Linked DNA regions of Macaca fascicularis. The protein of the gene in region 1 purifies or fractionates together with the protein of each later gene. This does not show direct contact. Links are inferred from orthologs where the notes say so. Each region holds a gene or a part of one and is shown in the gene's direction. Other genes may lie near its edges.

The links.
Region 2: the proteins of PABIR1 (region 1) and PPP2R1A purify together in Homo sapiens (affinity purification with mass spectrometry; 4 studies listed by BioGRID and IntAct, counting the BioPlex papers as one, with this or other methods). This does not show direct contact. The link is inferred for Macaca fascicularis from reciprocal best matches to the Homo sapiens genes PABIR1 and PPP2R1A.

What each region holds. Positions count from the first base shown.
Region 1 is NC_088389.1:99,502,541-99,507,920, forward strand, and holds PABIR1 (PPP2R1A-PPP2R2A-interacting phosphatase regulator 1), read left to right. Parts: upstream 1-1,700; 5' UTR 1,701-1,800; coding exon 1,801-2,664; 3' UTR 2,665-4,247; downstream 4,248-5,380. UniProt on the Homo sapiens protein: Acts as an inhibitor of serine/threonine-protein phosphatase 2A (PP2A) activity. Inhibits PP2A activity by blocking the substrate binding site on PPP2R2A and the active site of PPP2CA.
Region 2 is NC_088393.1:59,956,370-59,961,723, forward strand, and holds the start of PPP2R1A (serine/threonine-protein phosphatase 2A 65 kDa regulatory subunit A alpha isoform), read left to right. Parts: upstream 1-1,848; 5' UTR 1,849-1,898; coding exon 1,899-1,976; intron 1,977-5,354. UniProt on the Homo sapiens protein: The PR65 subunit of protein phosphatase 2A serves as a scaffolding molecule to coordinate the assembly of the catalytic subunit and a variable regulatory B subunit.

The sequences.
Region 1 (5,380 bases):
CTCTTAATTTCTACAGCTCTAAATGTGCTCTTTTCCTCTCTCAGTAAATAATACTACCATCTCACCAGTTTAAATAAAACAAGCTATGAGTCCCCTTTGAATAATCTATTTCTTTCACAATCTAAATTTAATCCATCTGCAAATCCTATTGGTTCTAACTCAACACATAGCCTCAGTCTCTCTACTTCTCCCCATTGACACTGCTACAACCCTAGTCCAAGAATCTTATCTGTATTGTTGCCATAGGCCCTGAATTCATCCTTCTGCCTCCACTGTGGTCCTCTTTCAGCCTGTTTTCCACAGAGCCTAAGTGATATTTAAAACATAAACCAGATAATATCATTCCCCTGCTTAAAACCCTCCAGTGGCTTTTCATCATACTCAGAATGAGATCCAACTCTTACCCTCTGCTAACACTCGCCGCTCTTATGCTTCAGCAGCACTGCCCTTCTTTCTTTTTCCGCTTACTCAACAAACTCATGGCTGCCTCGGGCCTTAGCACTTGCTATTCTCTCTGCTTGGAATACTCATTCCCCAGATGTCCACGTGACTTGCTGCTGCTTGTCATTTAGATCTCAGCTCTAATTGTCCGCTGCCTTCTATCAGTAGTGCTCCATCACACCATCTTGTTTTTCCTAAGGCTTTACCACTATCTGAAAATAGCCTGCGTTTATTTCTGTATTTTCCCCTCAGTAAGAATTAAAAGTTCTCAGACTAGGGCCCATTTCCTAGCAGTGTTTGGCACATAGTAAGTATGCTGGAAAAAAAAAAAAAAACCTTGACTGAATAAATGAACAAATAAATTCACTTTTAATGAGCTATCAAGGTTTCATATTAATTACATGAGCCAAGAATAGTGTTTTTATTTTTAAAATGTGAGGACCTACTGGTTTTCCTTTAATCCTTCATACTTCACACATATGCTTGTGCTGGAACTATGACTGTAAATCAGTATCAGTACCATCCCCGGTTTTGGCTTTTTCCCCTAACCTAAACAGTTCTCATTTACTTTTCTCTCCATCTCCACTTCCACAGTCACCTTAGTGCAAATTACCATCCTCTCTGGCCTTTTTTCTGTAAGGTTTTAATCTCCCAGTATTTGTTCTCCAGACTGCAGGCCAGTGAGCTTTTCAGTTGCTATTATACCCATGCTTGAAAACCCTTTAAGTTTTCATTGTTCTCAAGATAAAGACCAGAATGTGGTCTGGTCCACCACCTCACGTCACGCCAGCCCTCACTCTCCACTCCAGGCCACACTTTCTCCTCCCCTCCTGGTTCCCGCCTGCCACCTGGCTGGGTCGCCCTTGCTTCCCGCTTCCTGCGAAGTTTTACATCGCACCCATTTCGCCCACTTCTTCGGATTTCAGGACACTGTTCCTTCCTCGAGGAAGCCCTCCCTGATTCGCAAGCGCCACTCCCCGTCATACAGCCCCACATCACCATGGGCCTCTCTTTCAGGGCTTTGTTCGTTTTATAAATATGTACTCCAGAATATGACAATCTTATTGACGTTCGTCAATGCCAGTTTGCGCTCAATAGCTATTTGCTGAAGGAATATACGGACTAGCGGCCCGACCACTCCTCGCCCCTCCCCTACCACTGCCGCGCAGATATTACGCATAAAGCAGGCGCCTCGAGGACGGACATCGCGAGCGCCTGCGCGAAGGGGTACGCATGCGCAGAGGGGCCAGCCCGCTGACAGATTCTCGGTGGCGGCGGCAGCGGCGGCGGCCCTGGACTGCGGGGAATGGGAATCCTAGGTCCCTGACTGAGCACCTCCCCCGCCTCCCTGCCCCCGACATGGCTCAGGAGAAGATGGAGCTAGACCTGGAGCTGCCTCCGGGTACGGGCGGGAGCCCGGCGGAGGGCGGCGGCAGCGGCGGCGGCGGGGGCCTCAGGAGGTCTAACAGCGCCCCCCTGATCCACGGCCTCAGTGACACTTCGCCGGTGTTCCAGGCCGAGGCGCCGAGCGCCAGGCGGAACAGCACAACGTTCCCGAGCCGCCACGGCCTGCTGCTACCGGCCTCCCCTGTCCGCATGCACAGCAGCCGCTTGCACCAGATCAAACAAGAAGAGGGTATGGACTTGATCAACCGAGAGACGGTCCACGAACGGGAGGTGCAGACCGCAATGCAGATAAGCCACTCCTGGGAGGAAAGTTTCAGCCTGAGTGACAACGACGTGGAGAAATCCGCCTCCCCCAAGCGCATCGATTTCATTCCTGTGTCACCGGCACCGTCACCCACTCGGGGAATTGGGAAGCAGTGTTTTTCGCCATCCTTGCAAAGTTTTGTAAGTAGCAACGGATTGCCTCCAAGCCCTATTCCCAGCCCAACGACCCGATTTACCACCCGGAGAAGCCAGAGCCCCATCAATTGCATTAGACCAAGTGTTCTTGGACCATTGAAAAGAAAATGTGAAATGGAAACTGATTATCAGCCAAAGAGATTTTTCCAGGGCATCACCAACATGCTTTCTTCTGACGTTGCACAGCTGTCAGATCCTGGTGTGTGTGTATCTTCGGATACCCTTGATGGAAACAGCAGCAGTGCCGGATCTTCTTGTAACTCACCAGCGAAAGTCAGCACTACCACCGACTCTCCTGTGTCACCTGCCCAAGCGGCTTCTCCATTTATTCCACTAGATGAACTTTCGTCTAAGTGATTCACTCATCCTGAGACTTTCTTTTTGCAGTGGAGAGAGAGAATAATCAAGTTGGGGCAAACACTGAACTTTGTCAATTAATTTGAGGCTATTTCCTATTCGACCCCTTTTCTTTTTTGAAATTTCCTGAAATGATGTTATTCTAGAGAACTTCTATGTCAGGTTCCTGCGGATACCTTTGAATTCAGTGTAGTAATATTTTCAGACGTTTCCCCAATAAGTGTGTTGAAGCATACATCTTTACGCTGCTACTATGTCTAAATACATATGTTATCCCTTGATTTTTTTAAATAATTGAGAGCTCTATTTATTTATGGGATTATTAAGTTCTGATGAAAATATAAATGTTGACTTAATCAGCATAGTAAACTGATGTTTAAAATTCCATACTTCATGCCCACACTAATTTTTAATGTTATTTTCAGTGGTTTGCCGATTTCCATTTGATGAAGAACTATACAGCTTAAAAAAAAAATACGTTAGTTATATCAATCTAGTGGTTGTCTGTTTTACCCAGGAATTCTTGGATATTTAGTTTTCTGGGTACCGAAGTGGGTGGGAGGGGGAATGATTAGAGAACAAATTATAAAAGTTTGCAACAAATCCTTTCAAATTAAGTATATAAAAGTAAACTTTTAAGGAAAACATTTTTAATGAGATTTTAATAGTAATTCTAGTCAGTCATACAACTATATTATAGAGAAAATAAAAATTTTCCTTTTTTTTTTTTTTTTTTAACCAGAAAGTGCATTTGCTTGGGTGCAATCCTAAAGTGAAATGGGACAGTGCCTTGCAGTCTTTGCCCACTGTACATAGGCTAAGGCTAAGCTCTTTGTACTACTGCAAACGTAAAAGTTTTTCAAATGTAGAAAATGTGTGGGAAGGCTTGTTGAACTTTGGCGCGCCCAGGTAAACAATACTCTCTCTCAATTGTTGATATACTTTAAAATATTCAGTTGTGCCTCAGTTCCAAAAATTATTGCCAACCAGGAGCCAGAGCAATTTTTGGCTACTTTTCTGCTCTGCCCATCTGTCACCTTACTGGTTTTCCCTTGTTCAGGAAGGAAGCAGCTGTTTCCTTGCCAACAGGTCCCTTCCTTCATCTCCCACCAAAGTAGGGCACCATTGATTAGACAAAGGTACAGTGTAACTTGGATTTCTGACAGCAACAACAGGACTGAATTGTTTAACCTCTGTGGTTAAAGCTACAGCTTGAGTTGACTGCCTTGGGGATGTCCATTAATTAAGGGGTGATGATTTGCAAGAGAAAATTAGTGGAGAGTCACATAGGTAAATCATTATTTAACTTAGGTTTTGCTAAAGGTAGAATAGTCGAATGTTCTTTTCTTTGCCTTTACAATTAAGACAATAAGAATAACAAAATTTTCTTAATATTCTTCCTTATACCTCATATAGCTTCCTTAACTAGATAGTTTGACAGAAAGAATGGCATACAAAGAGGAAAGGGGAAAAATGACTCAGAACAAGACAAAAGCTCTGACTTTTTAAAGTTATCACTTACAGAGACTAACAATTTTGTGGAATTTTTACGACTATGAAAATAAATGGAACTGGTCAACTCTTGATGGTTGCCTCAAGATGGAGTGAAATTGCATTGAGGGTAAGACTGTGTCCACAGGTTTAAAATTCTCTCTTCTGAGTAATAGTGTTCATGTGCTCCCATTCTCAACCTTGTTCTTCAAATTCAAACTTAAATAGTCTGACTTCTTGTTGGGTAACTTGCCCTGCCTCCAGAGGTATTTAAACTTCATTATCTTCAACACAGAAATTGTTAATCTTCTCACTTCACCTATTCTTGCATTATCTCAATTGATGTCATCACTAATTTCCTAAACTAGAAATCATGGAAGCATCTTTGACTTTTCCTTTTCTCTGTTGGATTAGCTTAATCACCAAGTCCTGTCAACTTCTGAAATGAATCTCAAATTTCTTCCCTTCTCTATCTGTTGCCCCTGATTTTGCCTTAAGTTTTTGCCTGAGTGATCTCCCAGGCTGTTTTCTGTCTCCTTTTGGTTCAGTCTTTATACTGCCTCTTGAGAAATCTTTCTAAAATTTAAACTTGATATTTTTCACCCTCTTGCTTGAAAACTTCATTTGCTTCCCCATTTCCTACTCTTTAAGGAATGATTTCTTTAGCCTCAGATAGAAGGTTCTTTATGATCTGGCCATATTCTGCAATAGCTTCAATCCTCTCCTCATCTCTGTTCCCGTATATGTCTGTCTTTCTTATTCTACAAACATTAGACCACTTGATATTCTTTAAATATGTCATACTTTCATGTATCTGTGCTTTGGGATAGATTGTTCCTTCTCCCTAAAATGCCATTCCTATCCTTTTCAGGGAGGCAAATTGCACGTGAGTTTAAGTAGAAGGCAATGTATACCTGCTGATTATAAAATATTTAAACAGTGTACATATGTATGTGGTTTTAAAAGTCTGCTTTTAACTATGTAAAAGTCATCTTCCCTTTCAACAGGTAACTTCTGTTAACAACTTGGTATATATTGTACAAGATGTGTTACTGGCATTTCCATGTATATATGTATATAAATGCAGGAAACCAACATGTCCTTGATACCTCTCTTCTTTTCTTTCTCCCATGTCTAATCATTCCTCAAGTCTTACTGATTTTATCAGCTGGAATCTATCTCCTTATTTCTACCTCTATTGCCACTCTGGTCCCGGCTACCAGCA
Region 2 (5,354 bases), on another chromosome or scaffold:
AGCTAAAAAGATCCCTAGCCTCAGAGGCCTTGGGGCTGAGGGGAATCCTGGGAATGTGGAGGGCTGGGACTGAAATATTCAACCCCCATCCCCACTTTTATGAGCAGTAGTTTCCTAACTGGAGTGGGTAAGGGTATCTGAAATAGATGCTGGGCCAGGCACGGTTGCTCACACCTGTAATCCCAGCACTTTGGGAAGCCAAGGCAGGCAGATCACCCTGAGGTCCGGAGTTTGAGACCAGCCTGGCCCAAAGTAGTGAAATCCCGTCTCTACTAAAAATACCAAAATTAGCCGGGCGTTGTGGTGGGCGCCTGTAATCCCAGGTACTCGGGAGTTTGTGGCAGGAGAATTGCTTGAACACGGGAGGCAGAGGCAGCAGTGTGCCAAGATCCGGCCACTGCATTCTAGCCTGGGCGACAGAGCGAGCCTCCGTCTCAAAAAAAAAAAAAAAAAAAAAAAAGAAGAAGAAGAAGGAGAAAAGAAAAGAAAGAAAGAAAAAGAAAGAAGGAAAGAAAAAATAGATGCTGTGGGTATTCAGAGCTGCCAGAGTGCTAGCTCAGCCCAGCACTTCAAGTAGTAGAATAAAGGAAGAGAGCGCATCCCAGGCCTTACCATCCCCATCCAACTCCCTCAGAGTGGTCCTAAGATTGCGGTGGGGGTGGGGCTTTGTTGAAGAGGTTAAAAACAGAGATTAGTCAGATCCAATCCTGCTCCCACTCTATGGAGGAAACAGATTCGAATGCATAGTCACAGCCCAGGCTCTGGGATTGAGACACATAGATGGGATTGGAGAGACAGAGAGAGAGGTTCTGGTGGCTCTGGAAGCCTAGAGAACAAGAGCATTTACGCAGAGATCTGAGAAGTGAATAAGAAAGGCAGAACGTACAGCTTGGGCAAGGAGCCTTGCTGGCACGAAAACGCAAGATGTGCTCAGGCAGCTCTGATTTTCCAGGACATCAGACAAAAGGTAAAAAACGGAGGCGGGAGACGCGCCTAGACAAGGTATTGAATACCGGCCCGAGGAACTTGGGTTTCATCCAAAGAGCAAGGCAACTGAGCTCAACACAGTGACTCCGTCTCCACAAAAATTCTTTAAAAAACTGGCCGGGCCTAGCGGCGCGAGCCTATAATCCCAGCTATTTCTGCAGACTGAGGCCTGAGGATCGTTTGAGCCCGGGGAGGTCCAGGCGGCAGTGAGCCAAGATCGCGCCACTGCACTCCAGCATGGGGAACAGAGCGAGACCCTGTCTTTAAAAAGGCAAAAAAAAAAAAGAAAGAAAAAGAAAAAGAGAGACAGCAGGGCAAGCCGCTCCCTTCTCTGGGCCTTGGCATAAATCAAACACAAATAAAAGTCTCACTCCCTCCTCCGGCCGCGCAAAGGCGCGGGGAGCCAGCCTGCCAGCCAGCGGAACCATGGCCTGGTAACCCAAAACCTGCACACCCTCCCGCTCCCCACATGACGTCACGTATTACCACTTACGCACGCGCAGAAACCATCCCCGGGACCCACCAAAGGTCAGGCTTAGCGTCCTCCCCATATCGCCCCTCATTGGCTAGAAACAACTGCTCGTCCCGGTCGTTGTTAGCAGCGACGAAGGCGGGTTCAATCTTGGTCGCTAGGACACGGCTGACTTCCGCTTTTCTTCCCCCTCCCCTAGGCTCAAACTAGTCAAATCTCGTTCACTCGACCAATGGCAAATGGGAAGTGGGCGGGACTTCACTAGTCCGGACCAAAGAAACGCGGGTTTAGGCCGGCGTAGCGCGGCCAATGGCCGTGGAGCAGCCCCTGTAAACTGGTTCGGGCGCCCCCACGCGTGCTTTTCCTCCTCCTCCCAGCTCTGCCCCCCCGTTTCAGCAGAGCGCTGGCCGCAGTCTGACAGGAACGGGACAGAGCCAAGATGGCGGCGGCCGACGGCGACGACTCGCTGTACCCCATCGCGGTGCTCATAGACGAACTCCGCAACGAGGACGTTCAGGTACGGAGGCTACGGGGGACTTGGGGAAGACGGGGAGGGGTACCTGGGGGCATGGGCAGCCCTCGCGGAGAAGACTCAGCGTTCGCTGGGAGTGGCGGAAGGGGCGGCGGCCAATCAACGTGCGTCTCTTATCTCCCCGGGTGCCCGGACTCATTGAGACGGCGCCCTCGATTGGGTGTTGGCCCAGTGAAGGGCGGGGGCCTGCGCTAGCCTCGAGGGTCCCGGGCCTGCTCAGTGCGCGCGGCGGTCCGCGGTCCGCGATCCGCGGTCCTGGGAGGTTGCGGCCAGGGCTGGGGTCGGCGGACTGGGTCCGGGAGAGAGGAGGGCTCCGTGATTGGCGGCGGCCTCTGAATGGCCCCTTGGAGATGTGGGGCGCTCGTGACTTGCTCCGAGTGGGGGAGAGCCGCCTGATGGGTCAGGACCTGGGAAGGTTTTTTTCTTTTCTGGGTTTCGACTGCTGGCCCAAGTGGGGACCGAGAGGCGAAGGCCTGCCATCCCAATTCCTGCTCTTTCTCCACGTCTCATTTTGGTTTAGGTGTCCTGAGAGGACGGGGACGCAAAAACACCCCCCCCCCCCCACCAAAGGTGGGGACTAGCCAAATTGAAGAACGAATTACGTTGTAGAAACCCGCTTCCCCATCTCCCCAGATCCTCCCATTGATCAGGATAGGGGGTGAAGGATTTGCTAAGTGGATGAACATTTCATTCTTTCTTTCTTTGAGACAGCCCCTGTGTCGCCCAGGCTGGGGTGCAGTGGCGCGATCTTGGCTCAGTGCAACCTCTGCGTCCCGGGTTCAAACGATCCTCGCACCTCAGCCCCCTAAGTAGCTCAGATTACCGGCGCGAGCCACCACGCCCATCTAATTTTTGTGTTTTTAGTAGAGACGGGTTTCGCCACGTTGGCCAGGCTTGGTCTGGAACTCCTGACCTCAAGCGATCCACCCGCCTCGGCCTCCCAAAGTGTTGGAATTACAGGCGTGAGCCACGGCGCCCAGCCCGGATGAACATTCCTGGTTATGGGATGCGGTGGCCCAAGGCTCTGAGCAGGGCTGCCACCCGCTGTGTGACCTTGTGCAAATTACTTCACCGCTTTGGGCCTCCGTGTTCCATAAAATATGGGCTAATTGTAGTCCTGGTCTTGCTGGAGGGACTTGTGAGGGACTGAACGAATTATGGCACAAATAAAAAGTCGAATGGTGTCAGACCTGTTGTAAGGGCCTGATACATATTAACTGTGATTATTGGGAGTGGTGATTAAAGAGGTCCCATCCTCCCTTTAGGTCTCAGTTTTCGCATTTATAAAATTGAACAAGGTGCACTGGGTAACCTGCCAAACGTGGGTCCCGCCTCCTAGGTTCCTGGTATATCACTGTTTCTGGGGGCAGACCGGCTGTGGTTGTATTCCTGGCCCTTCCACTTCTCACTGATTGACATGCGCAAGTTAGTTAATCTCTCTAAGCCTATTTCCTCTTCTCTTTTATGGGGATAATTACCTAGTTCGTAGGGCGGTTGTATGAATTCTTTTGTTCAGTAAACACGTGCCATGTATCAGGTATGATGCTGGGGATATAGTGGAGACACCAGTTGCTATACAGGATTCAGGTGTGAAACAGGTCAACAGAGTGTGTGAAAAGTGATGGGAAGGAAACAAACAGGATGTTGTGGCAGTGAATCCATATTGAATTGGCCTTCTATTCTGTGCAGGTCACTGTTATAAGCACTGGCATGCAGTAGGGGAGTTTACTTTGCAGTGAGGAGAGATAATAAACAGAGTATACTGGAGATAAGCAGTAGGGAGATAAATAAAAATAAGAGAGATGGGGGATGCAGGGGTTTTTTTTGTTTGTTTTTGAGACGGAGTTTCACTCCTGTTGCCCAGACTGGAGTGCAGTGGCGTGATCTTGTCTCACTGCAACCTCTGCCTCCCGGGTTCAAACGATTCTCCTGCCTCGGCCTCCCAAGTAGCTGGGATTACAGGCATGTGCCACCACTCCCAACTAATTTTGTATTTTTAGTAGAGATGGGGTTTCTCCGTGTTGGTCAGGCTGGTCTCAAATTCCCGACCTCAGGTAATCCACCCACCTTGACCTCCCAAAGTGCTGGGATTACAGGCATGTAATCCCACTGTGCCCGGCCTGGGGGATGCAGTTTTAAAGTGTGGTGAGGGGAGGCCTTGTTGAGATCAAGTTTGAGAACACACCTAAAGGCAGAGGGCACAGCAAGTACAAAGTGGGGTGGGGCAGATCCATTTTAAGTAGGCCAATCAGGCAAGGCCCCTCTGAGGATGCAGAATTTAAGAAGAGATGGAAAGAAGGTGGGAAAGAGCTGCCCAGGAAGAGGGAACAGATATGGCCATAGTTTTTTGTTGTTGTTGTTTTGTTTTGTTTTTTGAGATGGAGTCTCACTCTGTTGCCCAGGCTGGAGTGCACTGACGTGATCTCGGCTCACTGCAACCTCTGTCTCCCGGGTTCAAGCAATTCTCCCACCTCAGTCTCCTGAGTAGCTGGGACTACAGGCGCAGGCCACCACCCCTGGCTAATTTTTGGGTGTGTGTTTTTAGAAGAGACTGGGTTTCCCCGTGTTGGCCAGGCTGGTCTCAGACTCCTGATCTCAGGTGATCCTCCTGCCTCAGCCTCCCACAGTGCTGGAATTACAGGTGTGAGCCACTGTGCCCAGCCAGTTTGTTTTTTTTAACTCCAGGATCACTTCCTTCAGCTGTCTATCATTCCATCCTTCCATCCATCCATCCATCCACTAACCAGCAAACATTTGTAGGGAGTTGTTTTTGTGCCAGGATCAGAGCTAGGCAGCTTACCGGTTTATTCTAAAGGATATTACAAAGGATACAGATGAAGACACACATAGGGTGAGGTTTGGGGGAAGATGTGTGGTGCTTCTATGTCCTCCCTGGGCATTCCACCTTCTAGGAGCCACTAGGTGTTCATCTGTCTGGAAGCTCCTATGGACTACTTTTGTGCTACAGCCCAGAGTTGCGTAGTTGTAACAGAGATGGTCTGGCCCTCAAAGCTTAAAATATTTGCTTTCTAGCCCGTTGCAGGGAAAAAATTGCCAACCTCTGACTTAAACCATCTGAATAACAAATTACTGGGTGCTTGCTCAATGCTAGGTACAGTGCAGAGGAATAACACTGACAATCTTATTGAATTCTCATAATCACTCTTTGAAGTAGGTCCTGTCCTTGTCCACACTTTCCAGATGAGGAAACTGAAGCACCATAAATAACGTGGCCAAAGCTGTGTAGCTGAGAAGTGGAGGAGTCAGGAAAGGAAGTAGGACCTAAGGGTGGAATAGAGTCTGGGGTGGGACACACGGTTGCTGATTATATTCATATGCCAGATATTTTAGTTGTGTCTGAGA